Lepisosteus oculatus: one gene and its partner. The protein of the gene in region 2 interacts with the protein of the main gene of each other region in a pairwise test. Links are inferred from orthologs where the notes say so. Each region holds a gene or a part of one and is shown on either strand. Other genes may lie near its edges.

Region 1 (7,083 bases), on a different chromosome or scaffold from region 2:
TTCACCCATAAAGGTAGTCGGCCTCTAACAATGGTCTAATTATGGAGCAAGGATGCTAGGCACCCTTAGGTCTGTGAGGAATACCTTCCAGTGGTCAACAGCAGAACTGATCTCAGGCAGTAACTCTCCTGGTGTCCCTCAAAGCTGCACAGAGCATTTCTGGGGTATTACATCTGAAGGAAAATGAGATGTTATAGTTGTCCGTGTCCTGAGGATAAACCTCTCACATCACTGAATCAATAGACAATATAAATTATTTTGTTTGTATCATGAATATGCAGCATTTTGCAACTTGAATTGATGTTTTTTTCATTTTAAATACAAATATACATAGAAACTTAATCTGATGGGAGCTTTCCTGGCACTGGTCTATACAATCTCTGAGGTGAAATGTACTTTCTCTAAAGATCAGACTGGAAAGGATCAGAATGGCCTGAAGCTTTGTTAATCTTTGATTCCCAGTTTGGTCACCAAGGGAGAGGAATAATGGTCGCTACACTGGCCCATCAGAGAATACAAATTAAAGGTAATGGGACCCACACCCATCCTTGGTCTTGTACAACGGCCAGTGGCTGTTTCTGATGTGAATAGTATATAGTCATCTACACAAAACTAGCACAGTGCAGGCTGACACCAAGAGCCACAGATGATCTAAGCTGCCACCCCAGAAGGGTGTTATAAACAGAACCTAAAATATACATAGGAGCTCTGCTGTGTCTGTGGGCTATACAGTACATTATACATGAGAGCTGTATAGAGGAGGTAAGCACAGCTCACGTCTTTTTAAATTAGGTACCAGTAAGAAGCGAACAGTTTATTTTCTCACAGAAGGACACAATAAAGTCATTAAACAACACGTAAATCTGCCGTGGTGCTAATTTACAAGGTTCAGCAGGCACTTAAAAAGCCCCTTCCTGATTTTGAGCAGTAGGACTTTGTTCTTCCTTTTCTAATCAGATTCCCTACGACTCCAGGAGCCACTGCACTGACCTGACAATAGCCAGGGATGCCAGGGGGAGAGAGCTCTCTGTTTGTTGCAGTCTGCAGGAGAGATCAATGATTCCACTCATGCCAGCACTATCTCCCTCACACACCGAGATTATCCTCAGCTGTGTAAAAGACACACTCAGCTGGAAACGCAACGCACAAAAAAAGTCATCAAGGAGGGTTTTCAAGCCTTGTCTTCCCTAGACAAAAGAGCAGTGTCTTTCACTTCCAGCTGTTGTGTTAATCTGCTTTTTAAATTATTTATTTTACTGTTATTTGCCCAGACGATATCAAGGCAACTTACAATACAAATGTGGGAATCTGGAATATGTTAGCCAGCCATGGTGTTGAAGGCAGTTCCCCTGGTTATGTTAAATGAGATGGGATCTTGAGGAGGTGGGTAAGATGAAATACAGTAGCTACTACCAAATGGACTAGATTGACCAAATGGCCTCTTCTTATATGAAACTCTTTTTGTACTATGTAGTGGTCAGATGGACATTATTTTTCAGTGACCTGTTTCTGGACTGAACAGTAAACTTTTCCCGTTTACAACCGTTTTTGTGCAATATATGCCAGGGACCTGTGCAATACATTTATAGTTATATTCATATTGTGCAATATGACTTTTTTGTGGACTGTTCTGTTCTTGTTTGTTCTTTGCATGTTCTGGACTGTGAGTAACTCTTCTTAGTGCACTTCTCACTGTACTGATTGTATTGTATTATTATTATTGTACCATGTTACACTGTTGCTGTGTTATCTGTGTTAAGCTGCTGTTGCACTGTAATTTCCCTCACGGGATCAATAAAGTATCTATCTTTAAGTAGTTCAAGTAGGTAGCCGTGTCAGCATGTGTAGGCTGCAAAGGAACAAGTAAAGGTTTATTTGTTGCTGAAAAGAGAAGAAAAGAAACACAGCACTTGGGCTGTTGAGCCTTCTTTGGGTGGCACTAATTTATGAAGCATAAAAGTCATAAAAGGTTCTGTATGCTACTCAAACAAGAACATCTACACTTTCATAGTGGTCTGTATGATAGAAAATTTCCACAAAACAAAAAGAGTCTCAGTGGTGTAAAGATTCACAACGAGCTTAAAATAATCATGGTGAGCCAACTGCTGTGTATGTTTAAAGAAAATAATAACGGGGAATGCTTGCTAATCTGTATTTTATTGCAGTATCACTTAACAGGGATTCTGAGCTAACTTTATTTGTCTGCAGTTTCTGTATTTTATTGCAAGGAAGAGAAGATGTATATATTTATCTTAGAACAAAGTATTTTTCCTGTAATGTCAAAACATGATGTGTGTTTTGTGTGTAACAAATGTTTGATCAAAGCAGCATGGGAGACTGTATGGAGCCGAGGGAGTGAGGCTGTAGGGTTAGTTTTTAGAGCTGATACCCTCTTTCTGGGGGAAATTCATTTTTAATGTGCTTGTTAATGCGTCCAAAGGAAACTAAAGAACTCAGTTTGTCTAGACTGTGGCAATGAAGTTTCACACAGGTTGCAAACAATTTGTGGGCAGGATCATTTCATATTTTTCTAGAAAAATGCCAGATCAGGTATCCTGCAGTCATCCTTGCAGTAATCTTTCTTATATAATGGACAATATATTTAGTCAGAAATTGTGTTTTCAGCCTCCTTCACTCAGCTCATCAAAACACGAAGAACTGCTTATGGACCATAGGCAGGCTGATTCCTGTACAGTGAGCTCCCCCTGTGGTCTGTAGTGTGCTCAGCTACTGCAGTAAGCATCCCGATTCCCTTAACTTGTATTATCATGTTAATGCTATAATACAAGTTTCCTGTAATTGTAGTTTAAACTGGTAATAAACCAACAAAATGTGGATCCCTATTGAACATTACATACTGGAGAGGGCTGGAAACAGAATATTAACAGTCTCATACAGACTTTTGTTTTCTGTCAATAGTAGACTGATTTTGTGTAGCTCCCAATTAGATGACACATGTCAGCCATTATATGACAGCAGCTGCAGATAAGGTAACATAACATAACATAACATAACATAACATCACTTTATTAGCCCTATACAATTTATTGCATTAAGAATTTTTCTTCGAATACCCCAGCTTACTCTCCATGAAGAGGAGGTAGAAGAGTGAAACTGAAGGAGGTCAAAGTGTGCAGGCACTAAGTGGAATTCAGTCAGGATATTGTTAACATCCCTAAACATATGAATACTGCAATAGGATCTTTACCAAATAGTAAGGGCTTCAGTTTAACGTCCCTTCCAGAGAAAGAACCTGCTTCAACCCTGTATCTCTGCTCACTATTCTGGGGAACGGGGGTGGAAATTTTGGTCCAGCCTTTTGACAGTTTAGGCCAGGGGTAGTTAACTTTGGCACCCTAGATTATCAGCCACTCCAGGATTTTACTCCATTTTATCTTTAATTTTCTGGTAAATTAATTAAGGATCAATTCCCCCCAGGCTCAAAATGCTGTAATGCCAAGAATTCCAGTTGTCAAGGTTGACTACCCGTGGTTTAGTAGGCAGTCACTCGTCATTATTCTTGATGTTACTCTTATTTCACAAATACCGAATACAAATACAGAAAAAGACATGCCGACGCCAAGGGCTTCTCCTTCATAACCGATTTACTGCGATCCTCACAGTACTTTGTAACGGTAAACTCTCCCTCTGCTCACTTAAACCGTTTGAATTTTTATATTTCTTCGTGTAAGCTTGCTCAGGGAGTTTCTTGTTGATTTACCAGTTGTCTGTGACCGCCTGAGTTTTGTTTTTATCCGTTTATGAGAAAATATTGATTTTTCACAAACTTCCAATTCCTACAGACGCATCTAAACTGTTTTTCTGGATTTTACGTTAGTTCGAATTGTAACCTCATTATCCGATGATTGCTGTACAAAATACTCTAAACTTTATTAATATTTGTTATATTTATTACTACTGTATATAATTATTTTCTATTTATCCATTCTGCGCCTTCGAAAAAACGTCCCATACCGCTGAGCTGTTCCCGGTCGCCGCTTGATGTCGTCAGGAAAAGGTCCGGAAACGAGAACGGTTGTTATGGAGAAGCATTTCCCCTGAGGGATAGAAAGAGAGAGAGAGGAACTGGAAAATAGAGCGAGAGAGCGAGGACGGGAAGCACGAATGGGAAAAGTGAGGAAGCTGTGACAGCGGCTCCTTCAACAGGTAGGTCGATCATCGTTTGATTTTGTTTCTTTCATGCCTTGTACTGTTTTCAATGGCTTATCGGAGCTACTTCGAATTCGGAGCAAAGCCAGGCGAAGCGGCGGCGTAGTTGCGGGAAGTTCAGCAGCAACACGATGTCAGTGGCAGGCAGCACCGCTCACCTCGCCGTGGCGGCTGAGTTCACGGGGCTGACTCCATAGCTGTTCTGTCTCTTTCTCCAAAAGGCTAGGTTGTGTCGGAATCGGGTAGGCGTTGCTTTGCACTCGTTTTCTGCAGGGGTGTGAAGAGTTGCCCTTTTCGTTTTCTTATGGGAGTTTCTCAAGCAGCGCAACAGGCGGCTCTGGGATCTTGATACTGGCCTGACGTGTCTAGCGTGTGTCAGGGTTGCTTTTAGTCTCTCACTTTTACTATTGTTGGAGAGATGCTGAGAGACGTGGTGGGTGCGAGTTCGCTTCATTTAACCTGTAGAGAGAGACAGGGAAAGCCTATTTCATGCTCTAACAGAACCGCGGTTTCTGTCCAGACTGAACAATTAAAATGGTGCTGTAATTAAGTCTCTGTCATCACAGTGACCTGACATTGTCTTCTTCTGTCCTACAAGAGAGAGCAGCGTGCTGTTTTTGTAAGTACTATCATTTTTTAAAACTTTTTACAACCCAGAGGCTCAGCCGTAGTAGCCTATTAAGGTCGGATTTCTATATGCTGAGGGAGCAGTGAGTGAACATCATATACAGTAATTAACCTGACGTGACTATGGTTTTAAAGACCGAAAGTTCAAATGATAAGGGTCAGGAAAAGTAAAGGTTACAATAACAGCGGTCTCAGATACAGTACTGTACGGTATTCCCTATCTCTAAACTGGTAGCACGGACACTTTATCAACTGTATAAGACTGTTCCTTAGCACGCTGACTGACAGAACTGATTGGATACTGGCAAATGCAGCACGCTGACTGAATGAATGGCTGGCACAGAGAGACTGCTGACTGAGGGACACTCTCCCTGACTGACGCATTGCTCGAGATACACCAGCAGCTCCCTCTCCTTACTCTCTTCACACTGCTGTGCTGGGCCTCCTGCCAGGGACAGCATCATCTTTGAGCACTCCTTCCAATTCAGCAATTTCATGCATTCTTGTAAAGTAATTGAGCTGCAATTTTATGCTACTTTACATTTATGACCTAACGCTGCTTTGTTCCGTGTTCTTTGAGTGTGTGTGTTCATGCGTGTTTCAGGGCCATTTTTGACTTCTGCTGTATGGCCGCAGTGAAATACAGTGGGAGTTTCCTGGTGCTGTTTAGTCAGCAATGGAACTTGCTTCTCATTTCCTAAAATTGGATCGAATTCTGTTTGTGCCGATTGAGACTGTCTCCAATATGCAAAAACTACTTCAGAAAGAGTGTCAAAATATGGGCTCGGATCCACAGAGATGGACACACGATTAGAAAATGGCAACGGCTGGCTGAAAGTCTGAGAAGAAGAAAGTAGTGGAGTTGGAAATGTCACGTTTCCCCTGCACACACAGATAGCCGAGTAAGACAGTGAACAAGAGGGGAAAACACATCGCTAGGATGCGTGTTGTACATTTAATTGTCTCCAAATGATGTGTCTGCATGAGATCCTGGGCTCGCTGAGCAAGCAAAGCCTTATAATGTAACAAAGGTCAGGGTGGCTGATTGCCTCCTAGACAGACCAACACTTGCAGGGACACCACCAGAGAGTACAATGGGGGGAAGGGCTCAACAGGTGAATTTTTACACTTTCAAAAATGGAAGATCAAAAAGGAGTCGGCATGTCCCAGCGCTTGTTGTTTGTCCCTGTGACAGTTTGGGTCCAGTTCAGTGAAGATGGTAGGAAATTTGTTTTTGGGAGAGTCAAGTTTTTACCAAAACCTTAAACCAGAGTGCCCTGTGATGAGCATAGATTGTGATGAGTTTAAAAGGCACATATATTTGGAAATTATTTTATATGCAGGATTATACTTGTCATGGATTCTAGAAACTTATAGAGTGTTCATTTGGAATCGGTGTGCAGGTGGAACAAATTTTGCAGTTCAGCAAAAAGTTTTGAGCATTGTTTTAACTGTTTCTCTGGGTTTCTCTGCAGCTTGCCGGCTGTGCAGGTTTTGTGCTGTCACTGAGGCTCTGAATGCCTCAGCTCACATGACCTGGATTAAAGTCCACCTGCCTCAGCCTGAGAGCTTTCCTGGCATTGTGACTTAATTGTGTGCAAAACTGTTAGAAAGCCAGAGGGGAAAAATGGTTTATACAAATATTAACCACAGGCTTAACCTACTTCACAGTGTTTCGGGTGAAGGGAAATCTTTTACCCAGTGCACACATGATGCAGATACAGTCTGTCACAATTTGTTTTAAAGCTCATATCAATTCCAGGTACCTTGTACAGTTTTAAAGCCATCATTTGTAATGGAAAAGTCTTTCAATGAGTTTTGTTGGCACAGCTGTATTGCCTGGTTTTCAATACACTGCTACAAGACGTTTGTTGAGGTTTGTAGGATCTGGGCCTAATGGATCTCCTCTCAGATCTCTCTTTCATGTTTCTGTGAATGCAGTTTTAAAGGAGCACCTGCTCATGCTGATTACCATATCACAAGGCCTGATACCAAAGGACTTACAGTAAAACTATAATTAGCAAGCGAACCAATAAGAATTGAGCTGATTTCAAAAGTGAACTGACACTCAGCTAAATAGATAAGCATATCTAGATGCCTATATCCCTGTCTCAGGTGATACATTTCAGTATAGCTCATTTCTTAAACTTTGCTGTTAAACAGCATTGTAGAAGCATGTACAGTACCTTTGTTCCGTGAAGCACAGAGTCAAATATTAAGAAAATCAGTAAGTCTTTTGAAAGGAAACAGGCAAAACTATGCAAAGATATATTCTAAACATACCTC
Region 2 (7,426 bases):
TGTACCAACAGAGCCACTCAAAGAGCTGGGCTCAGTCTGCTGTGCACTGATGGTGTGGTAGGTGTTCATCAGGATCAGCAGAGCCACTGACGGCCCTGTGTTCAGCGTGTGACTGTTCAGCAGTTGTCCAGCTGACCTGGGACAGAGTGGTGTGCGTGCTGTCAAACTCCTCCTGCTTCCGGCAGGCTTCAGCCAGCACAGCTCGATGGGACGGGTCCCACAGCTTCTCTTTGCGGTCCTTCTGCACAAAGAAAACACAAAGACAACCACAGGTACCTTAACACCTGCTCCCACAGTAGGGCACTGGGCACGAGGAACTAAAAATCGACCTTAATTAAAAAGCAAATCCAATACAGCTCATGCATCCTTGAATTGGAAACTGCTTTAATCTGTGTACCTGACCCTTTATCTATTACCTATCTGCTTAATGTATCTGTTTTTGACTTACTACCTTGTAAAAATAGCCAAAGGGCTCAAGAGTTAAATGATCCCATTACACTTTGCTAAAGTCAAACGAAGGCTGAAAAGAAAAAAACAAAATAAGCCTTGAGACAACATAGTGGGTAATTTGCACATTACATTGAGTGGGAGAAAATGGGATTGAACGGGACAACAAAACCAATATATAGTGTTCCCACTGTTTATTTACTTGTGCTTGAGAGGGCTGCAACAGCCACTGAGTTACCGAGTATCAATAAAAAATACTTAAGTCGAAAGTAGAACGTGCATGCACTGTTACCTGTACTCTCTCTTTCAGGGCTTTTGGAAAAAACTCGTATCCATTTTTGACACCGATGTGATACTTCCCCGATGGGTTTATCCATGTTGCAGGAATCTACAAGAGCAACAGACACGATGGCGTGAGACTGCACCTTTTGCATTAAAAACAGTATCAACACAAAAGGATTTCGAAAGGCATCGATTTTTCGGCTACTGAAGAACATTTCTGCGTGGTTCCGGGTAAAAGGGGAACCTCCCGTTCAAAGGTCAAGAAGTTCATGTAAACGAATGGACGTGAATCACAGCGGGCTGGAGTAAGCTCCTCAGGTCTGTTTGACCCTAAGAAGGCCCTGGACATTTCTCTCTACTCATCAGAGCGGCAGAAGAGCTAAAACACAGGCAACCACACAGAGCGCATGGCCACCTCCACTGAATGCAGCACAGCTGTCGCCATCAAGCTACAAAGGCAGGACAGGAAGAGAGCACAGACTCTGCTGACCGAGGGGCCTGACCTTCAACGTCCTCCCCGACAGGCCCACCACAATGCCGTCCTTCGGCTCCACCACCGTGGACATGTTCACATCCCCACTGCCCGTCGTGTCGATGATATCCACGATCTTCGGCTTCCCATCGGACGTCACCTAAAAAGAGAACGTTTTGACCGCGAGAGATGACCGAGAGCTCGAGGCGTGTGCAGCCGCTGGTCCTGGTGGGCGGCCGCACTCTGTCAATACCTGCTTGCAGAAATCAAGAAGACAACTACGAGGGAAGCCCTTTCAATCGAAGGGGTAGATACTTTATTGTCCACTGCTGTTGGGAATTTGTCTTTGGCTTCTCCCACGGAGAAGTACAAAAGAGCAAGCAATGTTTTTAGCCATTCTGGACAATTTTGCAAATGGCTAACTTCTAGTATAAAAGACTGGATTGATGTATTCATGTACAAATAAACACATCAATACATGGCAAGAGGTAAATAGGTCAGATTCAGTTATTGACGGCTTTCAACTTTTCTCGGAGCTCGGTGGATCACTGCAGTATCGCTGCCTAAAGCCCTTTCAGACACTGAAAAAATAGCCAGAACTAAATTTTATTTTTCTCCCTGTGTGCAAAAAATACAGATGGGGAGAAAAATGCACCCAAACTAGTGTCTAAAAGTGTCTAAAAAGTGTTCTGTGATGTAGACATATTTCAAAAGAAAACAGAATTGACATTATTGAAAAACTGAGCACTTCAGAATCAAGTTATATGAAATCCTGCTAACCTCACAACAGATTTGATTAAAATAAAAACAAATCAGAATAATGAATAAATTAAAATGGACCATGATCTTTTTTTTTTTTATTTGATGGGCAAAATAAATTCACTTACAATAAATGATAAATCAGTGCTAGGTTTGTTTATATTACACTGTCAGATTCATAATTAAAATATATCAGTATAACTACTCATATAAATGATGTCAGCTAAGTTGGGTTTTTTTTGTCGATTTTAGCTGCAATAATACACATTAAATTCCTACAACTGGATTTTTGTTTTAATGCCCAGCGTTTTCCATCTCATTTCATCACCTTGAGGATGTTGTTTTTTTTTTATCTCCACCAGCTCCGATAAAAGACAAATTTCATTCAAAAATATGAAACGGGACAACCCCTGCCCTGTTGCAGCTGGCACTGTTCAAAAACGTTTCAGCTAAAAGAAAACCCTGAAGGAAATTGCGATTGAAAATGGTAAGCAAAGCAAAGCAGAGCTGGGAACAGCTAGCGATGCAAAACAAACGTCAACAAACAAGTCTCGCTCAGGGTGCCCAGATACACAAGAGATGACTGGACACGGCAATGTGCCATTGTTAACCGACTTCACCGATGCAGGCCTGTGGAGAAGCGACCATGCATAAAGTCACTGTCCCACGCCGCACAGCCGGCTTCCTGCCGGGTAACTTCCATCAAGTGACTCCGGCGGCTGCCGACGTGCGGCCTGCACCTCCCCGCACTCCCCCTGCTGGTGTTACCTGCATACCCGGGGCCCCTGGGTCCACGCCGGTATCGAGGATGGCGATGAGGACGCCCCGACCATCGTACTCGGGGTACCGACAAAGGAAGGACGCGGCCCCGGTCTCTTTTTTGGGAAGCAGTCCGTGGAAAGGGAAGGGTTCTTCAGCACAATGAGCAGCCATGACCTGACAAAACGACGATGATAAACAATAACGAGCCGGAGCGGGGGATGAGAAACCGTATACACACACACTGCCTGAGCCGGAGACTGGGGGAACGCTTTTTAAAGAGACAGAGTCCACTTTTTCAGCCCGGTGCCGCGTTCAATGTTCAGGCGTTTTCCTTGGGCAGTTTACGATAACTCTTCTGTTTGTCCGTTTTTCTGGAAGTTACAGTCGATTTAATATCTGATTGCACAAACCAAATCATTAGGTAACGAATGTAATTACAAAAAGCACCCAATTACTGCAGCATCCTTTAAACTCACGGTTTTGGTTTTCTTTGAATAACAGTAAATATTAAATAAAAGATGCTATGCCCATGAGTGGTGGTGTATTCACAAGTGTAGACAAGCTGCCAGCTATGAAGGAGAGCAGTGAGGAGAATTCAGGGTCTTTATGGAAAAACTGTGCACCTATGCAATCTGCTTGAACTCAGTCCATTGGCAAACGAACAGCCTCAGCACACCATATTGTACAGCCAAACACACGGTTTCCACAAAGGCTGCAGGGTGTCCCGTGTGCCTTTGCTTCAAAATAATTTGAGTTGATGTTTTATGAAAATTTTGTTTTCGATTACCAGCATAGGAAGTAACAATCTATGCAAGATGGGCCGAACACATAATGAAGCAAAACAACGAATATGAAGCACAGCTTCTGTATAGAAAATACCCTCCTCCTCCAGAGAGGAGACTAGGAAGAAGCTGACGAAGTTGAAGTCTAGCTCCTGACCAGAAAGTCCAGAGTTCAGTCCCGGGTAGGGGGCAGGTGATGTAGCTTGCTCTAATTCCTTCCAGAGGGCTCCCAGGTCCACTCAGCCTGCTTTCCACTAGAGTACTGGGGGTTAATCCTTCTGGGGGTAACAGGCTGGCTGGCGCGTGGTGCTGACCTCATCACCTCCACCTCCAGTGTCAGATGGTTGAGGAATAATGGTGGCCCTTGCCCCCCCATTCCCCCTGGGCCTTAATGGCCTGAAAAGGGACCAACCATCCTGCCCATCTTTCTGTGTTGGGTCTTAATTGAAGAATTACAATCCCTAGCTATAGGCTAAGCCTGGCTTGTGTGAAACTGGAACCTTAATTCATGGCAATAATAAACTACTCACAACTTTGTTTTACAATCTGCACATCTCCATACAGATAAACTGGAAGTGCCCCAGTCTTAAGAATCACTCCAGCTGACAAGACAAGATACTCTTTAGAGAGAAGAATTAGTTCAGGTTAGCCCGTCTCCAGTGAGGTGTTTCATGTACAACAAGATATGTCTTACACTACAGGCAGTGGTGTGGAGTATAGGTCACGGCTTTTACCCCCAAATCAGAGGGCTACAGGTTCAAATCCTAAATGGGTTGCGATTGTCGCACCCTTGAGTGAAGGGTCATGCTCAGATTGGTCCAAAAAATGCAGAAACGAGTCTCAAGGATGTTGCTGTAAATGAGAATTTATTCTCAATTGACTTGTTTTGTAACCTAAATTAAAAAATGTAAGTACACCAATCATAATTCATTTATCTCTTGTCTCCATGCAATTGACTACCTTCCTTAGTACTGTTGGTCTTGTCCCTCATGCTGTCCGAAGTGCCCTGTTCATTTTCATCTGTGTGTGACTGAACATAACAGTTGGGGAGAAAAATATATTTGTTTCAAAATACTTCCAAAGAGTTACAGTTTATGAATGCAAAGAGAAACATTTGGTCCTCAGTGGTCTTTTTTTTTATTAAAAGAAAGTATGTTTCTCTGTGTTGTAAAGTAGTTCGTTTAGCTTTTTCTGAAGAGCCAGACTTTAAGAAAGTGGTGATTAATTGTCTGCCAACTCCCTTCATTTCCAAAGGAATTTTCACTCAGTTCAGCAGTTTTGCTCAAAAGACACCCTGAGACCAGGGATTAGGGATTGTCAGCACTGGGTATGAGTTTAGAGAGAAAGAGTGTCTTTATTACCCCAGGGGAAGCAAGTTGTTTTACAGCAGCAGTGTTGGTGTACAGACAAACAGAACAAAAAGACAGGAACAACAATATACATACATATTTACATTGAAGGTCAAGAGTTACGTAAGGATATGGCTACAGGTATGAATCTGTTGGTTTTGGAGCTGGAGAGTCGGTATCTGTGTTCTGATGGGAGTAACTGTAAATTATTAAACAAGGGGTGTGAATGATCATTGCAGATGGATTTTGCTTTGTGTAAAACACGTGAATGATAGATGGAGGAGATGGCTGGAAGATCAGCACCAAGGACCTTCTGACATATTTTCACAAGGCTGCCCAGTTTGTTCTTGCTTCTCAGATTCAGGTTACCAAACCAGCAGATCAGGGTAAAAGTTAGCACAGATTCAAGGCAGGGCCAGTAGAACAAAACCAACAAAGAATCATTGACCTTAAAATACTTAAGCTTCTCTGTCTGATATGTTACAAATGAGAGGAGCCCCTTTGGCACATCCCTCCTGTTTTGGTAGTTAACCAGTTATTTCTGGATATAACCTCTAGCTGTTTCTTGGAAGGAGCCAATGTCTCAGCTTCAAGAAGATGGCCGAGCGGTTTGTTCCATACTCCCGCAACCCTTTGGGTAAAGAGACACCTCCTGTTTGCAGTTTTAAAGGCACTTCACTATATACATACAGACTTCTTCTTGAACTTCCACACGTCAGTTTTGTAAGAAACCGTAAGCATTCATACCATAAATCAGTTTTGAATGTTTTCTAAATAGGTGCATTAGACATAATGCATGTCTAGACAAGCATAGGACTGATTCTTACTGACAAGTGAAATTGTGCTAGATGGAAACTTCTATACCTCCTACTGTTTTTTGATAAATCTACACTAATTATAGTTGCAATGTTAATATTCAGTGTTTCAGGTGCACTTCCTGGTGCTCTCTGGGTAATTATCTAATTTGTTTTCATGATTCAACACGAAAACAAATGAGAAAAAAATGGAAGAATGAAAGACTGTTTTGGTTCAGTCTTGACCTCTGGATTTACTACACTCTATAAACTTTCATTTCTGTTTGTTCTCAGTCCTTGTAATCTCATCCAATCTTGTTCAAAATGCTAAAGATTAGTAATCAAAGTGGATCGGTAACTTTCAGAAACTAATTGCATGTTAATGTTGTAACTGGAGGCTAGTTAATTAGGGTTGTGCTACAAGGAAGTTTGAGATGCATCACTTGAGAGCTGCAATTTTTTATGTCGTAAAACCAAACTCAGCTTCACAAGTGCACAGGACCGTGCAGTCATAAATGTGTGAAGCAGTCATGAGGGAAATTTTACAATTACATTTATATTTACCTTTTATTTCTTGCATCATAACTTGGTCAGTGGTATCTAAAAACATGTCAGACGCAGTTCTGACTGAAATTGTTCCAACTAAACTAATGAAGAATTTAAATAACAATCGTAGCAATCTGGGGAAGGCTTCTGTCCTGGAAACTGGAGGGTATCAAAGGAGCAAAAGGTACTGTATTCTTACACTGAAAGAAGGGATTTTCTGTTACTGTGCTGAAACACACTAGCACTGCTAATCTAAATCTCTTTAGATGTAGATCTAGACTGGGAGGGTTGAGTTGTCTGTCATTATGCTTGGGGACTAAGTCACACCACTTTATGAAATCCATTTGGCGATACCTGTGTTGTTTAAAAGTCTGTCTCATAAAGTACAGGGTAACTATATAGGATTGGCCACATTTGTGGTTTCAGAGGTTGCTGTTACCACAGGCAAACACCAGAGCATATTAAACCAAAAAATTCATCATGTCTTCACTCTCCCACATGCTAAGCCCTCACTAAAAATGGTTTCTGGTGCTGCCACTATACATGGATTACGTCTGCTTTATTGTAAATGAAAATGATCGATTTGAGTTTATACACATGGACACACTGACCTGCCTGAAGTGCTTCCTTACCCTGTAACTTCTCTAGGTAAACTGCTTTGTAGTGGGTAAGCAATTAATTACAATTCCTCATGGTCCTAGAATTTTGCTATTATTCTAGGTGGACAGGGGGTGTTAAGAAATGGCATGTTCGTTATTTGAGATGTCTAAGGTCTCATGCTATTACTCTACATTAAACTTCACGACCAGTGTCCCCCCTTGCATTCTCAGCTGTTGACACTAGGTGGCAGCTTACTACTATTTAAATGATCTGTCAAACCTGCGCTTTTGTCGGAAAACATGTTCCGTTTGTTTTCTGAAGTAATGTCTCTGCCAAGTTAGACAATCTCTTTCTTTTCTTCACAGGAAAAAGAAACAATACAGAATCTTACCCACACAGACTGGGCCTGAAAATAAAACAAGGAAACAAAGCATAACTGTAATAGGCCTAACTCTATTGTAAATGCTGCATTAAGCCCCTGACAACAACTGTTAACATGAGGTTACCCCTTATGAGCTGTATGTGCAAACCAGGAGTGATCAGCATTTTAATGTAAATCAGTACCATGTGACCTCAGACATCCTAAATAACATTGCTGGCACTCAAAGTCTAAATGAACATGCATTTCTTAAC

The links.
Region 1: the proteins of tpp2 (region 2) and ppp1r16a interact in binary tests that used the Homo sapiens proteins (3 or more experiments, as listed by UniProt). The two-hybrid records come from large-scale screens. The link is inferred for Lepisosteus oculatus from reciprocal best matches to the Homo sapiens genes TPP2 and PPP1R16A.

Annotation. Positions count from the first base shown.
Region 1 is NC_090701.1:29,029,306-29,036,388, forward strand, and holds the start of ppp1r16a (protein phosphatase 1 regulatory subunit 16A), read left to right. Parts: upstream 1-4,063; 5' UTR 4,064-4,167; intron 4,168-7,083. UniProt on the Homo sapiens protein: Inhibits protein phosphatase 1 activity toward phosphorylase, myosin light chain and myosin substrates.
Region 2 is NC_090710.1:29,088,185-29,095,610, reverse strand, and holds the start of tpp2 (tripeptidyl-peptidase 2), read right to left. Parts: upstream 3,015-7,426; 5' UTR 2,894-3,014; coding exon 2,729-2,893; intron 1,362-2,728; coding exon 1,233-1,361; intron 836-1,232; coding exon 740-835; intron 242-739; coding exon 137-241; intron 1-136. UniProt on the Homo sapiens protein: Cytosolic tripeptidyl-peptidase that releases N-terminal tripeptides from polypeptides and is a component of the proteolytic cascade acting downstream of the 26S proteasome in the ubiquitin-proteasome pathway.